2 linked regions of the Notamacropus eugenii genome follow. The protein of the gene in region 1 purifies or fractionates together with the protein of each later gene. This does not show direct contact. Links are inferred from orthologs where the notes say so. Each region holds a gene or a part of one and is shown on either strand. Other genes may lie near its edges.

Region 1 (10,964 bases):
AACAAGTATTTGTTAAGTGCCTACTATGTGCTGGGCCCTGTGCTAAGCCCCAGGAGTACAAAGGAGAGCAAAAGACAGTCCCTGCCTTCAAGGATCTTATAGCCTAAAGGGAGAGATAACATGCAAATAATATATACAAATAAGATATACAGGGGGATCAGAAAAGACTTCTTATAGAAGGTAAGATTTTAGTTGGGAATTGAAGGCAGCCAGGAAGTAGAGAAGAGGAAGATTATTCCAGGCATGGGGGAATGGCCAGGAAAAAATGCATGGAATCTCGAGATGGAGTGTCTTTGTTGAGGGAGAACAAGGAGGCCTGTGTCACTGGAATGCAAGGTATGGGTGTGTGTTAAGGTGGAAGAAGACTAGACAGGTGGGGAGGGGGAGGGGAACGATAGGTTATAGTTTTGAACACCATCTAGAGGATTTTATATTTGATCCTGAAAGTGTTAGAGAAATACTCCTTGGTGTTGAGTTGTTTCCACCATGTCTGATTCTTGGTGACCTGATTTAGGGTTTTCTTGGCAAAGATACCAGAGTGGTTTGCCATTTCCTTCTCTAGCTTATTTTACAGATGAGGAAGATGAGGCAAACGGAGTTAAATGACTTGCTCAGGGTCACATAGCTAGTACATGTCTGAGGCTCGATTTGAACTCAGGTCCTTCTGACTCCAGGGCCAACGCTTTATCCACTGTGCCAGCTAGCTGCTCTAGAGAGATACTGGAGTATATTAAATGCAAGGGAGGAGTAACATGGTTAGTACTGCATATGACTTTTGAGGTCATCTAGTCCAACCCATTCATTTTACAGATGAGCATAGGAAGGTCCAGAGAGTTTGTGACCTACCCAAGGTCTCAGAAGCAGTAAACATTAGAGCTAGGATTTGACAATAAGAATAACAATAATAATAATAACAGTAGTAGTACTGTAATAGTAGTATTATTATATATATTATGCATTATATGTAATATGTTATGTATATAGGACAGTAATAGTATTATTATACTACTACTACTATTATTACTATTAGATCTAGGATCTAGGTAGTAGTAGTAGAAGTAGTAGCGGGTAGTTATATAGCACTTTAAGGTTTGTGAAGAGCTGTAATCTTATTTGAGCCTCCCCAAAACCCTGGGAGGTAGGTGATATTATTGTCTCTATTTTACAGATGAGGAAACTGAGGCTGAGAGAAGTTAAATGACTTACTCAGGGTTGCACAGCTAGCATGAGACAGGATTTCAACTCAGGATTTTCTTTCTTTTTTTGCAAAGCAATCAGGGTTAAGTGAGTTGCCCAAGGTCATACAGCTACTAAATGTCAAGTGTCTGAGGCTGGATTTGAACTTAGGTCCTCCTGACTCCAGGGCTGGTGCTCTATCCACTGAGTTATGCCCTTACCAACTTTCTGACTCCAAGTCCATTTATATCTAAATTGAGGACCTATCTCCCCCCCATACCTTCATCATACCATACCATACCATCATACCATAATACTTCTTAGTCTATTTTCAAGCCTCTGCATTACCTCTGTGCCTCTAACATTGCAACAGTATACGCTCATGCTTTGTCATTAACCATAGCCACCTTTCATTCCCCTAAAACACCACCATGTGCCATCTCTGATGCTATCCTGTCCTCCACAGCCAGGAAAACCAACATTTCCCTAGAAGTTTTTCTTCAGGGTTCCACGGTTTCAGTGGTGTGTGTGTTTTCCCAGTGATAGATAGGTTTTCATAAATTGCTGTGGCTAGGAAAACAAGGAAGCAAACAAATGAATACCTGTGGTCAACTTTTCATTTATGTAGACTGGTCCTCAAACCATGGACCCACCATTCATCACTGGGCCAATGCCCAAAGCCTTGCCATCTTGGGAAGTTTTGGTGATCTGAAAGCACAGACATTCTTTAAAAAGGTTTATTTTATATATATTGTTGCATGAATTTTCTTATCAACTTGTGCTGGCATTAATTAGTTAGTTGATTAATTAGTCAGTTGATAAGGAAATTTGTGCACCTTTGATTTTCATACTGTCTACATTTCCTCAGGTATCCCTCCCCTTCTCAGAGAGCCATCCTTTATAACAGACAATAAAAAAGGGCGGGGGGAGAAAACAGTTCAGCAAAACATAGGCAATGTATTAAAAAAAAGTCGGGCTTTATATGTGGTGGGTTCCAAACCTTCTGCAAAGAAGTCTGGAGAGGGTAGAGGGTGGGGAGGGGGCAGAATGCCTTCCAGTCCTGTTCCTTGAGGCCATGCTTGGACATGACAATTTGGCCACATCCAATTTTGTTTATTTGGTTATTGTCATTCTTCCCTCTGTGCATTGTTGTGGTGATTGTGTGTTTTACTTCACCTTGCCTCCATTTGTATGTTTTCACACTTCTCTGAACTCATCACATTCATGGTTTCTTTCAAAACAAGAATATTCCATCATGTACCACAACTTGCTTAGCCATTCCCCGTTCGTGGGAATCTACATTGTTTCCAATTCTTTGCTACTTCAAAAAATTGATACAGTAAATATTTGACTGTGGAAGTAGACTTTCTTTTTTTATCATTGACCTTCTTAGGGGTATATGCCTGGTGGTAGGGTCTCTGGGTCAAAAGGTATGGGAATTTTAGTTATTTGCTTTGCATGATTCCAAATGAGCATAGCCTTGTAGAATTTAAGGTGAGTTCAATAGAAGAACATAAGAGGATTTTAGTAGAGGCCTAGAAGTAATAATTATATTTTCTGCAGATCACCCATCTCAACCAGGAAGTATCTCAGCTCAGCAGGGAACTTCGCCACATGATGCACTTGCTTCAAGCCTGGTTGGCAACCCGGGCACCCTTCACAGACTTTCCTGTTCCCCCTGGGCCTTCTACTCCTCCATGTCCACCACCAAGACCTCTTTGTGTTTCTCCATTGTTGACTGAGCCATGCCCTGGGACTCAAGATACCACATATGCTGAGGTCCACTGTCCCCAAAGTTCTCCCCCAGCTGGACTGAGGGAATCAGAAATGGGAACCTCTCCCCAGGGCTCCAGATCTGCGACACCAACCCTCTGCCCCCTGCAGATACGCCCTTCTAGCCCTGGCTCTCGGCCTGCCCTCCTAGGACCATCATCTGGGCTGGAAGTTCCATCTCCACCTGCTGGCTCTGTCTTCCCCAACGGTTCAGCTCCACTCCAGAGCACCAACCAATACCACTTCCACTCCAGTTCAGACACTTTCCACTGACCATGGTTTTAGGGCCCAGGCCTATCCAGTGGGGGCTTGGGCCACCCCCCTGGGAGGGTTTGGGTGTCTTGCCTGCCTACTACATAGTCAAAAGCCACTGGCTGGACTGGTCATCATAGGACCTCCTTCAGAGGTGTGACAAATGGTGGTGAACCCTGACCCCACTCCCTCTTTCATCCTTTCCCTCCTGCCCCTGTACTCCTGGTGGAGCCATCTGAGCCAACTGTGCCCAGTGGGCATGAGACAAGGAGTTGTGCCTGCGTCAGACTGGGCAGAGGATGTGCCCTTCTCCCAGGTGACCTGAAAGCAGGTAAGGAAGAGTGGTGGGAGGGTGGAGGTGGCAGGGAATGGTGAGTGAACAAGGCTAGCTTAAATGGAGAAGACTCCAGGGACAGAAGTGAGAGGTCCTAGAGGTTTTCCTGCCTGGGGAAGTGAAGTTTGAGGAAAGAAGGAAACACTAAGTCTTGGGCTGGGAGTCTCCAAAGGCATAGTTGAGCCCATCTAATGGACAGGCAATAAGGACCTAAGTGGTTTTGGTCTCTTGCTGAAACTGTAACGGGTATGAAAAGTTAGATTGCAGGAAGGACTTCCTGCCCAGGGGGTTAGGAATGGCTGAAACAGGGAGGGAGGGAAATGAGATTTTTCTCTTGAGATCACTTGGTGAGGATGAGAAACTCCCTTCTGCCTTCACCCTTTGAGCTGGGGAAAGCAGGAGATCTGAAGACTTCAGTCATGATGAGAGATCTCCAAGCACATAAATTCTTTAGGCATCATACAGCCTAGGCTGGGAAGATTCATGAGATTATAGATTTAGAGCTAGAAGGGATTTTTGAGGTCACTAATTCCAACTCCCTCATTTTATACTTGGGGAAACTGAGGTTTGGCCAAGCTATTAAGTGTCTGAGATAGGATTCAAAACTTAGTCTTCCTGACTTTTAAATCTGATGTTCCATACAATATACCACCCTGTCCATTTAGGGATCAAGATAGAGATACTTTAGGGACAAAAACTGTACCCATCTGAGGGATGAGAGAGTGAGGGAAGCCCCCAGGGGGGCTGAGTGTATACTCTTTGGCTCCCATTTGCTTCCTGCTTTAAGAGTTACAACTTTTCTCACCACTCTCTGAGAAGTAGGTAGTATTATCTCCCCTCTTTCGAAAATGAAGAAAGATTCAGAGACAAGACTGACTAGTTTGTGGTCACCCAGCTATAAAGTATCAGAGCCAGAATTCAAATTCAGGTCTTTTGACTACAAAGTCCAGCCCAGTTATCACTGCTCAGTAATATTAGTACAACTCCAGGCTCTATTCCCTCAAACTGACCCAATCCTGGAATGGAGTAGTGTTTGGGGGGATGGGGAAAAGGGAGGCAAAAGTAGTGTCCACTAATACCTTTCCCTGTATCTCCAAGCACATCTTTAGCTTTCTTTGTATGTATGTGTGCTTTATGTCTCTAGGTTCCAGCTCAAGGTGACCAGTCTGGCTGTGGATGACCCTTCAGATATTCCCAGGAACCACCCTTTCCAAATTCTCCAGCCCTGACCTCTTACCCCAGTTCCCTGGCTGTGACTTAGCCCATCTACCTCCCTTTCTGTTCTGTCTCATACTCAGGGTCCCCTCTCCACATGAACCATTCCTGCTCCCTGAGCATTGGGCCATATCCCTCTCACCCCCTATTCTCCTCTAGAGAACCTTCCTTTTCCTCTCTCTGGCTCTCATAGGGGAAATAAAATTTTCTTTATTTTTGTAGTTGTTGGACCTGTCTGTTTCTTGGGATGTATTGGGAAGCTCCTAAGGCTCAGAGGAGGCAAAACAAGCAGGTGACTGCAAAGGCCCTCTCTGCACTGCACCCCAGGGTCCCTGTTGCCATCTCTAGGAGGAGCAAAGGCGCCGACCTGCCTGGCACAACATTCATGACAACAGTGGCCCCAGGGAACAGGGGTGGGGAATCCTTAACAAGTGCTCCTGGGACTCATTATAGCATCTAACTTACCTCCCCCTAAATAGCACTTGGGAGAGACAAAGCCCTGTTCCCCCCACTCCAACAGACAGAGGGGGGAATAGAAAGGGGTCTTTGTCAGATGGAATCATTCCCCTTTCTCTTGAAAAATTCACATCCCATTCTCATTGTCCCCAGCATTGAAATTCAGCTGTATCCGAGAAGGAGCATGTGTCATCTGCCTAGGATCTTCTGTGTCTCCCATTCTTCCCCACTCCCACCCACATACTGGATATTTATAACTTATACCCCTCCCAACCCTCCACCTCCACACTCCTGTGTCTCTACCTTCCTCTGCATCTTGGGGAGGAATGGGGGCGGGGGTGCCTCGGTGGCCAGATGGTGTTAGAGATGGGGAGGAGTTGTAGAATTGTGGGATGGTCTCAGAGTAACTAATTCTCTCTAGGCTGCAATAGGAGGGCAGTACCCTTGAGACCAACATCCTGTCCTGTCTGTGAGGTGATCTGAAATTCCAGAACAAATCCAGGATATTATTTTCGTCGGGTGGCAGGAGACAGAGGTTGGCTTTTTTGGCCTGGTTTCCTGGGACGTATATTCTAGCCACTTTTTTTTGTAGTATCTTCTCTCAACCAGCCTGCAACCCTTTTACAGCGCCCCCTCTATGCCCCCCACATGCTCACGATTAAGCTTTCGCCCTACTCTTATCCTGAAGTCTTTCTCTTGGGTCTGCAGAACATTGTAGTGTCAAAGGGATGATCCTTGGTCCTGAGATTTAAGAAACCTAGCTTATAGGTTTCTCTGCCATTAGTGGTTGGCACTAGTGGTGCCAGCTAGTGGTTGTCTCTGCCACTAACTCTGGGTGATCTTGGGCAAGCCTGGCCTCAGTTTCTCCAGCTGTGAGACACAAAGGGATTGGTCCACTTGATTTCGAAGGTACCTTCTAGCTCAGCGTGAGACTGCAGCGTGCATTTGCTGAGTGGGGTAGTGGGATGGGGGGGTCTGGGGTTTGTTAAATTGAATTAAATTGACTTGCAAGGGAGTGATGGGAGATAGAGGGGAGCGGAATCCCCGCAGCTCTATTAGGAAATGCATTAGGGCTGACAACCTCTCTAGGTTAAACAGCTTTTATCTCCCACTAATTACAATGCGCCCCTCCTAGCCCGGATTCAAGCTACTCTTCGTCTCCCCAGGTCCCCAGGCCCTTTGAAGCGTCAGGATCGGCGGGCCCCGCCTAGTCTGCAGCCCGCTCCACCCCAATTCCGGAGCTCAAGTTCCTTCTCTCCGCCCAATGCCACGAACTACAAGTCCCAGGACACCCCGCCCCCAAGTCCCTTTTCCCGCCGCGAGATCGCCCCCTGCCGGCTCAGCGGGCGTTCCGAGAGAGCCTCTTTCCTATTGGTCTCTCGTCCCTGTCAGTCACCCGGGACCGGAGAGGGGCGGGGCGAAGTAGGAAGATCCGGATCCGGAGCGGCTGAAAGGCGGAAGTGGAGGCCGGAGCCTGGGACACTGCCGGGGGGGAAGAGGAGCGGAGCCAGTCCGCAGAGCCGGCCCCAGCAGCCCCGTCGCCCCAGAGCCTCAGTGAGTAAGCCTGTCCCGGGACCTCCGTGGGCTCCCGCCCGCGCCTCCACCCTGCCAGGCCTCGCCCTTCCCCCCTTTATCCCTCTTCCCTCCTCTCCGCCCGACCCCAGTTGAGGGGACACTGGCCCCTCCCAGGGTCCCGGCGTCTGACCCCTCCCCCGACCCGTAGTCGGACGGGGTTGGGGGGGGTCTCCTCTGTCTACTCCCAGCCCGAGGGGGCCCGCGTCCCGCGGCGCGTCCTGCCCTGCGCATTTCAGGCCTCGGCGAGCCCCTCTTCCTCCCCCTTCCTAGCGACCCGGGCGACCCAGGGCCGTCCTGCCGCCCCTGGCCTTGAGGCCCAGGTCGTGACCGGTCCCTGATCTTGGGGGTGTCGCCTGCGGGGCTGCGGCTGCTGCGCCCCTCCCCTCCTCCAGCTGTGGGGGGCGTTCCCCTTCTTCCCCGCCCCCCGGAAACCGTGCGCTTCTACCTGTCCTGGCCCGGGAGAGCTGGCTCCAGTTGTGATTTTTTTTCCCCTGTGACTGAGACCTCCTCAGCCACTTTTCCCTGCCACTGACATGGGGGGGAGGCGGAGAAAGAAGTATTTATTAATCACACCTACTATGTGCCAGGCGCTGTGCCAAGCGATTTACGGACATTGTCTTCTTTGAACCTCACAGCAACCTTGTGAGGTAGATGCTGTAATCATCCCCATTTTACAGTCTAGAAAACTGAGGCAGTCAGAAGTGAAGTGACTTGTCCAGGTTCACTCAGCTAGTAAGAGTCTTGAGGTCGTATTTGAACTCAGGTCTTCCTGAAGCCAGAATTAGCATATTCCGCTATATCATGTCTGTTTCTTTTTTTCCCTCTCTCTAGATCCTAGACCCTTGCGTTGCTTCCCTTTTCTGTCCTACCTTTTCCCCTTCCTGTCTTCTCTATTTTATTGTCCTTTCCCCAGACTGTGAACCCTGGGTCCGTCTTAGGGGTAGGGGTGAGAGGGGGATGTCTCCTTTCTTCACTTTTTTCCTCCTGTCATGAAAAGGATTTATATATTCTTTTCCTGTCGGTATAACCCCTTTTTATGAATATCTTCCTTTTCATCCCCAGCGGTTTGCTACATTTCAGGGTGGATAAGTCCACTATCTCAACTGTCTTTGCTTCTGGGTTGGCCCCCTCCTCCAAGAGCACGTGAGTGTTTTCCAAGCTTCCTCTGAGGGATGGCTCCTCCTAGGACAGCTGTCTGTTGGCTTTCCCTGGAAGGGGAAGTAAGTTAGGGACCTCCCAGAGGGTGAAGGGTGTTGGGACTGGAGGTTTCACCCTAAAGCAACAGGTTCAGGCATCTTGTGGTTTCAGAGTGGATAGCTTTAGAGTTTTGATATCTTCATGAAACTTTATACACATGTACTTATGTCAGTGAATACAACTTCTTACCCAAACCCAAACAGAAACCTGCTCTTCCAAGGGGAATATTGAGTTTATGTCTCTTTTATTGGTGACTTGGGGATGTGAATCAGCTGCTGCAGAGTGGTCATAGCCTGAATCCAAGTAGAGGCCAAAGACTGTTTGGCTGGGTTCTTTGAGGCCATGTCTTACATTTGATATTTTCATCTGACTAAGAGGAGACCTATTCCATGTTACAGCAGACTCTTTAGCTCACCTTGAACCAGTATCTTTGGTGACCATAGTTTTCTTGAGGAGTACCTTCTAAGACTAGAGTTACTTTTTGTTTCATAGGTTTCTGTTGACTTTTCGTTAACTATTGAGGCCTAACTCCTACCATTGGATAGGTTTCTCTTTTTTAAATGAATTTTTGTTTTAGATCTGTGATGTATTACCATGTTTCTGATGACTAGTTTATAGCCCTACACAGAAATAACAATTGGAGCTTATATTTCCCATTTTGTCTCTCCTACCTGTGTACACACTGCTTGATAATCAGTGAAGACAGTGTGCTTTGGTGAATCAGGTTTAGTAGGGGGGAAGTTTTTTTCCTAGTCCAACTAGTCTGTTCTTGGTAGCTTACTGGATTTTAGTGAGATGTCCTCTCCTTTCCCTATTGGCCTCCTCTTATCCCCAACCAGAACTGAGTAGGTGGGGACAACCTTGTGAACCTTATTTCTTAGCACCCCGTCCTATCAATCCCTGCCCCTGCCCCCAACTCTCTTGCTTGCTTTTAATACCTGAAATATGTGCTCAGCAGAGTATGTTTTACTTTGGCATCCCAACAAAATAGTCTGGGTTGTCAGTCCTGGAGAGGGCAATGCTGTTTCAGATCATTGGCACCTAGAGTGTAGAAACCAGGCTCTATATCACTTCATCTCTGTGCTGTGCCATGAACAGGTTGGTACTTACTAGGCACTTTTTGATGATGAGGTGGTTATGAAAAGAAAGCAACCTTTCTCCAACCCAAGGTGACTTGTAAGCATTTTTTTAGAAGCAGTACAATGTTGATTTCTGTTTGGGTACTAATGGTCCCTCATTCTGAGGGAAACCAAGAGCATGGGGGAGAACACTTGTCGTTTGCATTTCTGCTGCAGCCCCAGTAAAATAGAGGCCCACAAAGATGCTTTGAGATTTGTCAGTTTTTGTGTCACAGACCTTTCTGCTTCTCAGCAAGCAGGGGTTGTGACTGTTGGCATAGATACAGATCATTAGTAGTCACATTCTACTCTGCACACCTGTTGATTCTTTTTGAACCTTTTCTCTTGCTTTTGCCTTAGGCCTGCTACTGATATCCCGAGCAATTGTTGAGCCACCCTGACCCTAGAATACTCTACTTCATGGGGACCTAAAAGTGGTAGTGACTGTCTGGGCAGAGCAGGTCTTTGTTCTGCCCTGATCTCCCAACTTTGCTGCTTATTGATGAGATGTAGCAAATGTGTAGGTTACTTTTTATCCTGAATCTATTGGTATGAAAATGGAGTATACCATAGATTTTTTTTCAGCTCTTCCCTCCAAAGTAAACCCGTCTCATCTCTTATATGCTTATCAATTAAAACTGGACTACATTTTCTGCAAACATGGACCCTATCCTGTGGTGGATTCCCTTTACAATTCAAAGTCTTTTAGGGCATTACAGTACATATGCTTGTGGTTATGGTGTTTGTTAGGGCCTACTGATTTGAGCCCTGGTAATATCTAGTACTTAGGGGAAGCTAGGTGGTGCAGTGGGATAGGTTGCTGAGGTCAGGAAGACCTGAATTCAAATCCAGCCTCAGACACTTACTAGCTGTGTGACATGGGCAAGTCACTTAACCCTGTTTGCCTCAGTTTCCCCATCTGTAAAATGAGCTGGAGAAGGAAATGGCAAACCACTCCAGTATCTCTGCCAAGAAAATCCCTAGTGGGGTCATGAAGAGTCAGACATGACTGAAACAACTCAACAGTAGCAACAACAACAAATCTAGTGCCTCTCAGGCTTTAATCGTTTGGGTGCTTTGGACTATATATTTCAAATTTTTAAGTATATGTATTTTAAGTCTTGTAGCCCAGTAACACAGGATAGTTGTGGTTCAGGTCCAGATTCCTGCTGGGTTTGGAGTCAGGAAGACCCAAATCAAATCTAACCACAAATATTGCTTTGCCCTTGACCTTGGGCAAGTCATTTAACCACTTTTTGCCTCAGTTTCTTCATCTGTAAAACAGGCTTCATAATAGAACCTACCTCCCAGGGTTGTTGTGAGGATCAAATGTGATAGAAATCTTAAAGTACTTACTTAGCACAGTGCCTGGCAAATAGTAGGTATTATATAAATGTTAATAATTATTGTTATTATTAGGCTTTAGTCTTTGAAACTAGCAAATAATACCTCCTTCCACATGCAAGAAGGCCTGAGTTGTTTCTGTTCTAGAGGAGAATAGGTTAATTTAGAAAAAAAAGACTTGTTCAGGTTGACTTCTTCTCCCTATCCTAGGACTGGGGAAATGTAGCTACTCCAAGGGTAGGTTAGATGTGATGGTTATCTACTCTGGTTCTCTTTTATATAGAAAGAATTGGAGGATTAGAGCTGTGAAGGGACCTTAGAGGCTGTCTAGTTGAGCCCTTTTGTAGAGGAAGAAGCTGGGTCTCAGAGAAGGTAGTGACTTGCTCAGGCTCCATGGTAATAGGTTTCAAAGGTAGGATTTGAATCCAAGTCTCAATTTCATTGCTTTTTTTACTATACCATTTTTACTTTGAGTGTAGAGAACACAGCAGACTTGTGATTGTATATTTAATGACAGTTTCTTA
Region 2 (11,816 bases), on another chromosome or scaffold:
TATGATGTAACCTTTTATGTCTCTCTTGTATCTTTTTGAAGTTTATCTTGACATGTGACTCGAGGCATTTTCTACCCCTCATTCCAACCAGATTGCTGACTAGTTTTTCCAGCAGGTCTTATCGAATCATGTGTCCTTGGAGCCTTTGGGTCCATCCAACGCTGTTAATATGTTCATTTGCTTCCGCACATTGTGTACCTAGTGTACCGATCCTCAGAGTTGAGGTTAATTTTGATCATTGATGCATTGTAGCATAGTTTGAGATCTGAGGCTTCCTTCCCCCCCACCCCCATTTTCCATTGTTTCTTAAGAGATTCATTTTCGTTATTTCTATTAGCTCTTTTAAAATAATCTTTTTGAAAGTATCCATGGCACTGAATTTTTCTCTAGTTGTTGGGTCTGTTATTTTTTCTATAAATGTTTGTAGTTTTGGTCATACAGTTCCTTTGTGGATCTTGGTAGGCAGACACAAATATTTTATGTATTCTATATATTCCATATTCATATATATTCATAATGTATTCTATATTTTGAATAGAATTTCTCTTTCTCTTCCTGCAGGATTTTGTTGGTAATTGACAGAAATACTGATGATTTATGTGGATTTATTTTCTATTCAACTTTGCTGAAGTTATTATTTTAGCTTAGTTGACTTTTTGGGGTTCCATCATATCATCTGCAAAAAGCGATCATTTTGTTTTCTCTTTGTCTATGCTTAATTCCTCGACTTTCTTTTCTTGTTTTATGGTTCTAGATCATTTTCATGTTATTATGTTAAATAATAGAAGTGTTGATGAACATCTCCGGCTCAATCTTGGTCTCATTGGAAAGGCCTCCAGCCTTTCTCCTTTACATGGAGTTTTAGATAGGTACTACTTAGGCAGCTGGGTGGCAGAGTGGGTGGATGTTGGACTGAAAGTCAAGAAGATCCAGGTTCAAATTTGCCTCATCTATATTATCTGTGTGGCCCAGGGAAAATCACTTAACTTTAATCTGCCTCCATTTCCTCCTCTGTAAAATGGGGATAATGATAACACCCAGTGAGATATTTGTAAAGCATTTTGCCAACCTTAAAGCACTATATGAATGTGTATTCTTATTATTGTGGCCAGAATATTTTTTTCTGATGCTCTACTTGGACTTTAGAAGTTAACTCTTATAGGGTTACTTCTTGGCACACCTCTTAGTACATAACTTTTTTCACTATTATCAGGATTGTTTTCTATCTCAGTTTTTGGATTGGGCTTTTTATGCTTGGGTCAGCCTCTGCCCTCTTCAGTTCTCTTAGCTAAGATGGAATTCTTGGCTTTTGTCAGTCTCTTAGTGGTACAGCTTAGGTTTGGGCCTTGGCACCTTCTCTGAACCCACAGTAGCCTTTGTCCCTAGCTATGAATTGAACAGGCCCAACCTCAATGATGTTCGTACTGGTAGCAGGACTCCTGCTTGATACCTGGTGCTTTGCTTCCCAGATAGCCCCGCTCTTTCTTCTCTTGGTCCACGCTACTTATTTATATGCTGTGCTTTCAATCTATCCTGGATGGAGGGAGTATATAGATTTTTGTGTATTTTCTTTTATCATTGTTCCCTTTTTTAAGGGCTTTATTGGGGACTCCTCTTCTAGGCCCTAAGTGGCCACTGTCTTCACACATATTCTTTGAACAAGAGGGTGGGGCCAGTGGGAGTTAGAACTATGACTTGGGAGTTTTGAAGCCTGGGTCCAAGCTTCAGCTCCATTCTCAGCTTGTGTGTGTGAGTGAGCTTGATTAAATTCTTGCCTACACATTGAGAACCATAGGAAACCTTCAATCTCAGTGGCACTGAGCACTTTGGGAATAGTCTATGTGGTAGAGATTCCCTTTGACAACCAAGGATGGTAAAGCTGAGCAGCCCTTTCTTTCCTCTGTTTTCCTAGGCTTGCGCTGACATATGAAAACCTCTTTGGCCCACTTCTGACAATCAAGTAAGTGCTGGGGTGGCAGGGGGGTGGGGAGGAGGTTAAAGGGGTTGGTGAAGAAAGCTTTGGGCAGTCTTTGGAGTTTCCACTGATCATCTGACTTTCTCTCCCAGGTTTATTCTGAGCAGCCATTTCTACCCTGTTTCAGCCCGAAGCTGGTTCATCATGGATCGACTAGAGATCCACAACAACAACTCGGTTGTGGTCTTCAATTCCTCACATGTCACAGCACCTAGCATCTATTCCTTTCACTGCCAGTATGTTAGCACTGAACGTTCAAAAGCAGGTCTCCTAATATCTTCACCTGGTTCCTCTGCCTGGCATGTGACTTTCCAGAATTTCCAGGTAGGATGAAAGGAGCACAGGAGGTGGGGAGTACATGTTCTGTTTCGGTGAGGGAGGAATTACTAACATTCCCAGTTGAAGAAAGCCCCCAGAGGGGAAGGAATCAAGGGCACAAATAGAAGGATTGGCTTTGGTGAGAAGGGCCGTGTTTTCATCACAGACTGGGCCAAGGGGAGGGAGATTAGGGAGGGTGATGAGGGGATTTGAGTATGTGTGGAATTAAGGAGTATAAGGAAGTTCACAATGGATGGCATCGATTTTCACTTTAAAAATGATGCATGAGGTGCTCTGCTAAGGGATGAAAGATGGAGAAAATGGTGGAAGTGAGTCAGTTTAGGGAGAATCAAAGGAGTGCTGTTTGGTAGGGAGAACTCAACTGAAATTCAAGAACGTGAAACTGAAGTAAACTCAGCCCTGTTAGGATTGGAGAGAGTAGATGGGGGTGGGATGGAAGAGTGAGATTAATCTAGGGTTGGAATTTGGAAAGTCATGATAGTGATAGGACAAGGAAGGGGTAAGAGATTTGAGGGCAGAGAGGAACACAGTTAAATTGAATAAATGAGGGAAGAAGGTGAGACCAGAACAGAGGTAGATGGTGATGCGGTGAGAAAGCCGGAAGAAATGGAATGCCCTGAAATCAAGTTGAAGATGAAGGCTAGATAAAGGGAGGGGTTGTAAGTAAGGTACAAGAAGAGGAGCTTGTAGGCTGAGAGGAATTTGAGTCCTAGATCATTAAATAGAACATTTAGGAATGAGAGAGAGAGGTGTGTGTGTAGTACAAGTTATCACGGAAGCTAATGTCGCATGAAGACTTTAAGCTTATAAAATCAGAGTTTAGGGTGGAGAGGAAGGCTGAACTCTAGGAAAGAAGAGGGAGGTATAGAGTTAGGGTGGTGTAGCTTCATGGAGAACCTCAAAGAGAGACAGATTGGTAAATGATGGCCACAGTGGGACAGAATTTAGCTGAGCAAGGAGTGTTCATACGTTTCTTCCTGACTATCCATCAAATAGCCTAATTAAGATACTCAGGGATATTAAAAACCTCTCCAGTTCTTGGGTCTACCCACCTTCCTACCTACTCCAGAAACATTCTGCTGGACCCTGGCTCTGGTGGGTGGGATAGGAGAGGAGAGGGCGATTTCCCCTGCACAATTCCTTTTGGATTTCATAGACCAGACCAAACCAGTGTTTGGTTTCTTGTCTTAATTTTCTTTCTTCCTTTTCAGATTCAGGCCTTTAACTTATCTGGTGGAAACTTCTCCTATGCCAGTGACTGTGCCAGCTTCTTCTCCCCTGGCATCTGGATGGGGCTAGTCTCCTCTCTCATCATGCTTTTCATCTTCACCTACGGTCTGCACATGATCCTCAACCTCAAGACCATGGATCGCTTTGATGATCACAAGGGGAGCACTCTCTCTGTGCCCCTGATGGAGTGACCCCTTTAGTCACATGGGGGGGCCAGAAGGGTTGGAGGTGGAGTTTTGTGTTGACTTTGCCTCCTCCCCTTGGAAGGGCTGCCAGGCTACTACTCATTTGTGCTTCCTTAGTAGCTAGGCCTCCCTACCCCTATTTCCTCTTGCTCCACCCCCAATTATCCCAGAACCTGTGGTTACCCTACCCTGTCCGTGGAAACAAAAAAGTGTCTGCCTCTGACAAATACCCTCAGTGAAAACCTTGTAGGCAGTGCACCAATGGAGGGGGTGGGGGGGTGGGGAAGGAGTATCCAGGCCACTTTCCTTCCTGCTGGCTTCCAATCCTTATTTATTCTCCCTAAATCCCTGCCCTCAGGTCTAGCTGCTTCATTGTGTGAGATGTATTCTGGGGATTAGTCAAAATGTAGTCCGGAGGTTGGAAGGTAACTCCAAGTGGGGTGGGGGTGTGAACTTGAGACTTGTTACATTGTCTTGTTTGCTTCTTGTTTTGTCTTTTTCTTTTTTGGTGATGCTAAAGTTGGATGTGATAAGAAATTGAAATAAAATTTTAACTAAGCCTCCAAGACAGTGTGGTCATTTTGTATTAAGCAGGGCTTTGCTTTAAAAGGACAGAGATCAGGGAGTTCACCAGTGGTTATGTGTGGATTTCTTCCTCCTCTCCCTCTATCCACATAGGGTATCAGCCTTTTCTGCAGGTACTCTGCCCAAAGGAATATAAATTTTGATAGCTGAAACTAGCAAGATACCTTGGGGTTTGTGGGCTAGATTTCTTTTTTTATGGACCATACCTTAAACCCAAATCACTTTGGTTCTCATTAATTGGCCAACAATAGGTCCCAGCCCAAGCCTCTTTTGGTCATTGGGCTTTGATGCAGTGTATATAGTAATTGTTTCTGTTTTGGCCAGAAACCGTGAAGCTCTTCCCTTCCCTGAGTGATTTTTGGTTTGGTTTGGTTTTGACTAAGTGAAAGAGGCCATTCTTGGCCTCATTTGTTACCTAGCCTTAATCACTAAATGAGTGTTACCTCAGTCAAACTTCGACCTGGGAAAGGCCTTAGCTTCAAAAGGCCAAAGTCTCCCACTGTGTCTCCAGCCCTGATTTATACCTTGCCACTCTACCCAGATGGCTATGGAGGAGATTGAGGCTAGTGACTTTGTACAGCCCTCCCACACTTAAATCCAAGTCATGACATCACCTTCCTGATGTCATGGTCCCCTTTGAGAACGAAGGACAAACAAAGAAGGGAACTCATGGTGGGGAGAGGGTGTGGGCTTGAAACTTGATTATTTTGTCTTCTAGTTTTTTGGTGGGGCTAAAATTGGATGTGAAAAGAAATTGAAATAACATGTTAACTAAGCCTCCATGACAGCTTTGCTTCAAGAGGACAGATCATTTGGCCTAGGCATTGCTGAGGAAGTCACCAGTGTGTTATCCCTTGTTGTTCAGTGTCTGACTTTTCACCATCCCATTTGGGGTTTTCTTGGCAAAGATATTGGATTGGTTTGCCATTTCCTTCTCCAGCTCATTGTATAGATGAAGAACTGAAGCAAACAGTGACTTGCCCAGGGTCACACCACCAGTATCTGAGACTGGATTTGACATCAGGAAGATATATTTCTGTTTCCAAGCTCAGTGCTCTATCCATTGCACCACTTAGTTGCCCACAGGTTACAGGAGTGGAGGCAAAACAAGGGTTCTTCACCTGGGGTCATTGATACAATTCTGGAAGCCTTTTAAAATTGGATGGGATAAAAACAATTATATTTATTAGCTATAATGGGTTTCTTTTGTAATATTTTGTGCATTTCAAACCATGATTCCGAGGATTCCAGATGCAAAGATAGAGAACCTGTGCCACCTCTCCCATTCCTGGGAAGAGAGGCAGGGCAAATAGTTCATTGATGGGGTTTGGGCATGAAGATTGGGGGTGTTAGGGAGGCTGAAAGGAGAATTTCTTGGCCCTTCAAAGCTCCCTTTGGCTGGTAGGTCTGCAGCCTAGATTTGCCCCTTAGGGATTTGAGGGGACAGGATGGGAAAAGACAAAGCTGAGTCATGGGAGGAGGGTGCGGGGTGCTGGAGATAGCGGCTATAACCTCTCCTGCAGAAGACTGAGGCTTCTGTGAATATGCCCCACCCAGGCCTGGAGCAGCCTCCCCTCCCCCGCCTGGCACCTGCGCCCCCAAGAGATTCGCGCCCCCCATCTGCATGCTGTGATGGGGACAAGGGCGCTTTCCTTGACCCTACTCTTGACAGCCTGTTAGAGGCGGGGTCTTCTCCCCCGAGGCGTTCCCTCATTTTCATCTCCCCCCCTCCCCCCCTCCCCAGCGCAGTTCCTTCTCTCGGGTTCTCCCTCCTGGGGACAGCCCCTCCCCACAGCATCTCCGTGGGTAGGAAGATGCGGGCAGAAGATGCGGGAAGGGGTGCGGATGGATCCCTCTCTTGGTCTCCTCACGGGCCTCTGTCCCTCCCCTCCCCCTCCCTCTCAATGAAGGAATTCCCACAGTCGAGGCAGGCACATCGTAGCCCCTTGCCCCAGCATTCTGCAAGTCTCTCGGCCACGTTCGTAGTCGGGCGTGGTCCACGGGGTGACAGGGCGGCGTCGGCAGCGCGGAAGAGTCGGGACTCTTTGGCACAGCGGAGGGAGCTGGAGGAAAGGCGGTGCTGAGTCCGCCATCTTTGGTCCATTTCAGCGGCGGCGGTGGCAGCAGCAGCAGCAGCGGCAGCAGCGGCGTCGGCGAAGCCGGAAAGCGGAGACCAGCCGAGGCCTTCGAGCAGAACCATGGACGAGGAGTACGACGTGATCGTGCTGGGCACGGGCCTCACGGTGAGTAGGGACCGACAGGAACCCCGACGAGAATGCAGCACCCCGCCCCCCCAACCTAAAAGGTTCCCCCCTTCTTCCCCTCCCCCCACCTTTTCAACCCATCCCCATCATGACCTTTCTTCCCCTCTGTGTGTGGCCCCAGTGGCGTGGGATCCCAATATGCCTTCCTTTCAGTCTCCTCCCAATCAGGGCTACCCTCTTTAACGCCAACCCTAAGATTCACAGATAGTCCTCCCCGTTTTCTTGGAGCCCTACCCACAGGACCACAGAGTATCCATACCCCATCACCACAATCCCCAAGATGATAAGGGTATATCAAACCCTCTGGACGGTAGTATCCTAACCACAGGATAGGGGACTGAAATAATCCTTTCCCTTCCTCTGGGTGGGGGTGAGAGACAGGACAGGCATGGTGTGCTCATTAACCCTGTAATGGATAAACGCATCTGACGTGTAATAGTTGTGTGACCCTGGTTAGTCATTTTCCTCGGCCTTCTATTCATTATTTTCCTCCTTCTTCGGTATTTTCCCCATCTGTAAAATTAGTACCTCCCAGCTCTAGATCTAGTCACATACAAGATGGTGGCCTGAAGGCATGGGCAGGGTTGCTGTGTCCCTACCACATAAAGATGCGCTGATCTTGTGGGAGATTACTTGAGAGTGGGAGAAATGGAGTTCTCCGTGTGCCTCAAGACCAGGAAGAGAAGGCCTAGGGTAGGGCCCTTGCGATACGGCGTTTCTCTGCTTCCAATTGCACCTGTGCTCTGTGTAGCTGTGTTTGTCGACATTCTTATTGCTTCCTGGAATAGGATGTCAGGGTCAGGAAAAGGGGGAGTTGTTTCTCCACTGCTTGCCTTCACTTTGGAGCCCAAATGGCCTTCCCCTTAATAGCTGCGCCATGAAGAGTTTAGCAGAAGGATGGAAACCTACCTCTCCAACCTTTTGTGTGTCTGGTTGGGAGAAGGGGAGGGGCTCTCTTCCGCCTCTCCTCCCCTTCAGTCTTAAGGTAAAGGAATCTGCTGAGATTTCTATTCTGGTTTGGGGAGAGGGTCTATTCACATTCTTTTTCCTGTCTTCCTTGCCGGTCTTCCCCTCCAGGAATGTATTCTCTCTGGCATCATGTCTGTGAACGGGAAGAAAGTGTTGCACATGGATCGCAATCCTTACTATGGGGGTGAAAGCTCCTCTATCACACCCCTGGAAGAGGTGAGGTGACCTGCTCCATTTTTCCCAGGCTCCATTGTCCTTTATAGTCTGACTTCCACGCCTGATCAGCTCTTGGAAGTCTCTACAGGCAGGTTTTGGAGGTGAGGTCAACATTGATTGAATCCTCCCTTTTCCTCTTCTCTGTCTCTCCCTGCTTGTAGCTGTTCAAACGGTTTGACCTGCCTGAAGGACCTCCTGAAAGCTTGGGCAGGGGTCGAGACTGGAATGTTGACTTGATCCCCAAATTCCTCATGGCCAATGGTGAGTGGGAGGATATAGCTGGTGGTAGGTGATATAGGTAGGATGTGGGGGGGGGGGGGGGCAGAATTTGGGGAAAGGGCTTGAGGACCATCAAGTGAATGGGAAAGGGTTATACATATGGAGATGTCTCTCTTCCTCTCCCCATACTACCCACAGGCCAGTTGGTGAAGATGTTGCTGTACACCGAAGTGACTCGTTACCTAGACTTCAAAGTGGTGGAAGGCAGCTTTGTCTACAAGGGGGGCAAGATCTACAAGGTGCCATCTACTGAGACTGAGGCCTTGGCCTCCAGTGAGTGTCACCATCGTTTTTTATTCCAGTTATCAGGACTGAAGGAGAGAGCGTCACACCTCTGAGACTGGTTTCATGATACTGGTGGGGAAAGTGAATTGTCCAGGACACTGGGGAGAAGCCAGGGGCATATTAGGGAGTCATAGGCAGAGCTTGCCCATTGACACAACTCAGGTTTAGATGTGAATGCTTTCCTGGGCCGTTAAGCCAGCAGTATCAGAAGCACACTGTATACAGAATAAATACAAGGGAATTTAGGGCAGAAGGCTAGCCCTTAGAATTTGGGAGGGATCAGGAAAGGTTATATGTGTGTAAAGGCACAAGGATACAAAAGATGGCCGTGAGGAGACCAGTTTGGAGTTCTCAGCATTGTTAGTTGATTGATGAGGTAAACTGGGGCCAAGCCATATAGGACTTGAAAGCCAAACTTGTATTCTAGAGGCAACGGGGAAGCCATTGCAGTTCGGCAGGGGAATGATATGGTCAGACCTTGCTTAATTAAGATTATCTTGGCCAAGAGACTGAGTAGGAGGCTATCATCTAGATGAGGTGATGAGGGCCTAGACGTGAGAGGGTTATAGGGCTAGAAACAGCAAGTTTAGGCCAGTGATTGGCTTTGTGAGGTAATGAAGAGTGAGAATTGGAGATCATAGTGTCTTTGAAGACTTTGAAGAGGATAGGGGTGCCCTAGACAGAAACAGAAATGACCAAGTAATTCCGGGGAGGGGGGACAGAGGTCTAATAGTTTGTTAACAGTGGAATTGAGGGTTCCAGAGGTCGTGATGAAAGAGGGGAAGAGAGAGATAGGGTTAGAGTTGATTTAATTATCAATACAGGTCCCTGACCCAGCATATATAAGGTTCAAGGCAGGGACTCAGTTTGTCATAGAAGTACTAGGTGTTTGTAAGGCACTCTCTCCTTTGATCCCTAGTCAGGTCAGCTGTGCCCAACATTAGGACTCACTGCAGTGTTGAGTAGACTACCTCCCATGGTAGTGGGGAAGGGGAGGAGTTATAAATTAGGAAACTAAGGCCTGGAAATCACACAGTGACTAGCAGAATAAGACTGGCCCTGGAGCCTTCTGCTTTTTAGCAGTGTTGTTTTTATCTCCACTTCATTCATAGTTTTTGCCCCCTTCTCACTGTGGGGTAAACGGTGGGTGAGTAAAGAAACTCCTTTCTCCCTTAGACCTGATGGGCATGTTCGAGAAACGCCGATTTAGAAAGTTCCTGGTGTTTGTGGCAAACTTCGATGAGAATGACCCCAAGAGCTTTGAGGGTGTTGATCCTCAGACCACAACCATGCGAGATGTGTATAAGAAGTTTGACTTGGGCCAAGATGTTATTGACTTCACTGGCCATGCTCTGGCACTCTACCGAACTGATGAGTAAGAAGATATTCTTCCATTTCCCTTCAGGTCCCTTTCTTGACCTTGAATTGTACTAGCTTAAGGGCCCCCTTCCTTAACTGCCATGTTCTAGCACAGTCCCATAATTTTTTTTTTTGCTTAATGAACAAACTTCCTCTTTCCCTTCTTTCCTTCTCACTTTTAGCTACTTGGACCAGCCCTGTCTCGAGACCATTAACCGCATCAAACTGTATAGCGAGTCTCTGGCCCGGTATGGGAAGAGCCCATACCTGTACCCTCTCTATGGCCTGGGCGAGCTCCCCCAGGGATTTGCAAGGTGAGGGGGGAGGGAAATGCAAGCAAAAGTGGGAGTACAATAGGCATGTGAAGGGAATTATTCTCCAGTTTTGCTGTTGCCCTTCTTATTGTTAGCAGGCCATTTTCCAGCTGAGGAAAACTGAAGCTTTTAGCAAGGTTTGGCAGTAGAGTGATTACCCATCAGAGGAAGTTACCAGCCCTAAGCTGAGGGTGATTTTTCATTGCTGCCTCTTGGCCCTGTTCTCAATAGCCAAAGCCTTGCTTTAGTACTGCTTTGCAGGCTCTTCACATTCCATGATTTCCAGTTTGGAATTTTGTTCATATGGATGAGTGAGAAAGAAGTTAACATAGCCTCGTGAAAATATAGTCCTGTGAAAAACCAAAATGAAACAGAACAGGAATTATTGATTTTTCCCTGTGTTAGTTGGAGAAACTGAGTGGGGATGTGATCAATCCAGTCATGCTCTTGGGGCTGGGGGGAGCTAGGTGGCTTAGTGAATTCAGGCACCAGTCCTGGAGTCAAGAGAACCTGAGTTCAAATCCAGACTTAGACACTTACTAGCTGGGTGACCTTGGGCAAGTCACTTAACCCCAATTGCTTTGCCTTCCCCCTCCAAAAAAGAAAAACAAAATCATACTCTTACTCTGACAACCCAGTCCTCTTGATTAGCCTGGGGGTGGGGGTTTCCTGCTGGGGACAGAGGGGCTCTCATCATTGTACTCCCTCCCCACCTCAGATTGAGTGCCATCTATGGTGGGACATACATGCTGAACAAACCTGTGGATGATATCATCATGGAGAATGGAAAGGTGGTAGGGGTGAAGTCAGAGGGGGAGGTAAGCCAGACCATGCTTCTGGAGATCTTCCCCCTATCCTTGCATTCTTTCCCTTCTCTCCTGTCTCCCACCCCCCTCCTCTATTGTTGTCAAAAGACCAAGGGTGGTTTTGATGAATTTGAAATGATGGGTGGTAGGTACATTCAGAAGTTGAGGTCCTAGAGGTTCTGTATGGAACATTCACCCTTACTTAGTCTTGGGTTCAAAGCTGGTTCCATTTTTTTTTCCCTTGGGACAGCAGGGTTCTAGGTGCTGTTGGTTTTCATGACAGCACTGGTTCTAGGTTCTAAGTTTTGGGGAAGAGATAAGGGAGAGCCAGTATTGGGAGCCTGGGCTTTGAAATGAGAATAAGCCAGGCTACCTGCCTACAAGGAATTTCTAATGCTTCAGATACAAAAATGTTGAAAGTCAGTCACGGAGACTGGAAAACAGATAGTGGATGCCTTCATGTGACTTTGAGTCCAAGGGGTTTACTGTTTCTCTGGTCAACTAGTTTTCTTAATTGGTTGGGGTTAGAGTTGGCTATTGAGGCCAAAAACATAGGTTTGCTTCTTCTGTGGCTTCATGAGGTTACTCAGCCCCTTATATCTGGCCATTCTGAAACCCTCGTCCAATGCAAAAGACTCAATGAAGATCCCTACCTACTGGTGGATACCTAGCTCAGCAGGTCAGGGTGCTGCTGTCCCCCTCTACCCCAGGTGGCCCGTTGCAAGCAGCTGATCTGTGACCCCAGCTACATCCCTGATCGCGTTCGAAAGGCTGGCCAGGTTATCCGAGTCATCTGTATTCTCAGCCACCCCATCAAGAACACCAATGATGCCAACTCCTGCCAAATCATCATTCCCCAAAATCAGGTCAACCGGAAATCAGGTGGGCAGTGCTGGTGTAAGTAAGTGAGCATTTGTGGCTATTTCCTTGTAGCTGGAGCACTTGTAGTTTATTTGAATCTGATCTCTCCCTCCATCAGACCAGGGATTTTTCACCTGCCTCTTGGGGGA

Evidence for each region.
Region 2: the proteins of RAB5C (region 1) and GDI1 purify together in Homo sapiens (affinity purification with mass spectrometry; 3 studies listed by BioGRID and IntAct, counting the BioPlex papers as one, with this or other methods). This does not show direct contact. The link is inferred for Notamacropus eugenii from reciprocal best matches to the Homo sapiens genes RAB5C and GDI1.

What each region holds. Positions count from the first base shown.
Region 1 is NC_092873.1:358,665,502-358,676,465, reverse strand, and holds the start of RAB5C (ras-related protein Rab-5C), read left to right. Parts: upstream 1-6,511; 5' UTR 6,512-6,760; intron 6,761-7,848; exon of another isoform or gene 7,849-7,924; intron 7,925-10,964. Other genes in the region: voltage-gated delayed rectifier potassium channel KCNH4, read left to right, coding at 2,740-3,222. UniProt on the Homo sapiens protein: The small GTPases Rab are key regulators of intracellular membrane trafficking, from the formation of transport vesicles to their fusion with membranes.
Region 2 is NC_092879.1:9,967,507-9,979,322, forward strand, and holds the start of GDI1 (rab GDP dissociation inhibitor alpha), read left to right. Parts: upstream 1-6,409; 5' UTR 6,410-6,512; coding exon 6,513-6,557; intron 6,558-7,655; coding exon 7,656-7,763; intron 7,764-7,924; coding exon 7,925-8,024; intron 8,025-8,180; coding exon 8,181-8,315; intron 8,316-9,503; coding exon 9,504-9,702; intron 9,703-9,868; coding exon 9,869-10,000; intron 10,001-10,718; coding exon 10,719-10,818; intron 10,819-11,516; coding exon 11,517-11,688; intron 11,689-11,816. Other genes in the region: ATP6AP1 (V-type proton ATPase subunit S1), read left to right, coding at 1,913-1,960, 2,068-2,299, 3,526-3,735. UniProt on the Homo sapiens protein: Regulates the GDP/GTP exchange reaction of most Rab proteins by inhibiting the dissociation of GDP from them, and the subsequent binding of GTP to them. Promotes the dissociation of GDP-bound Rab proteins from the membrane and inhibits their activation.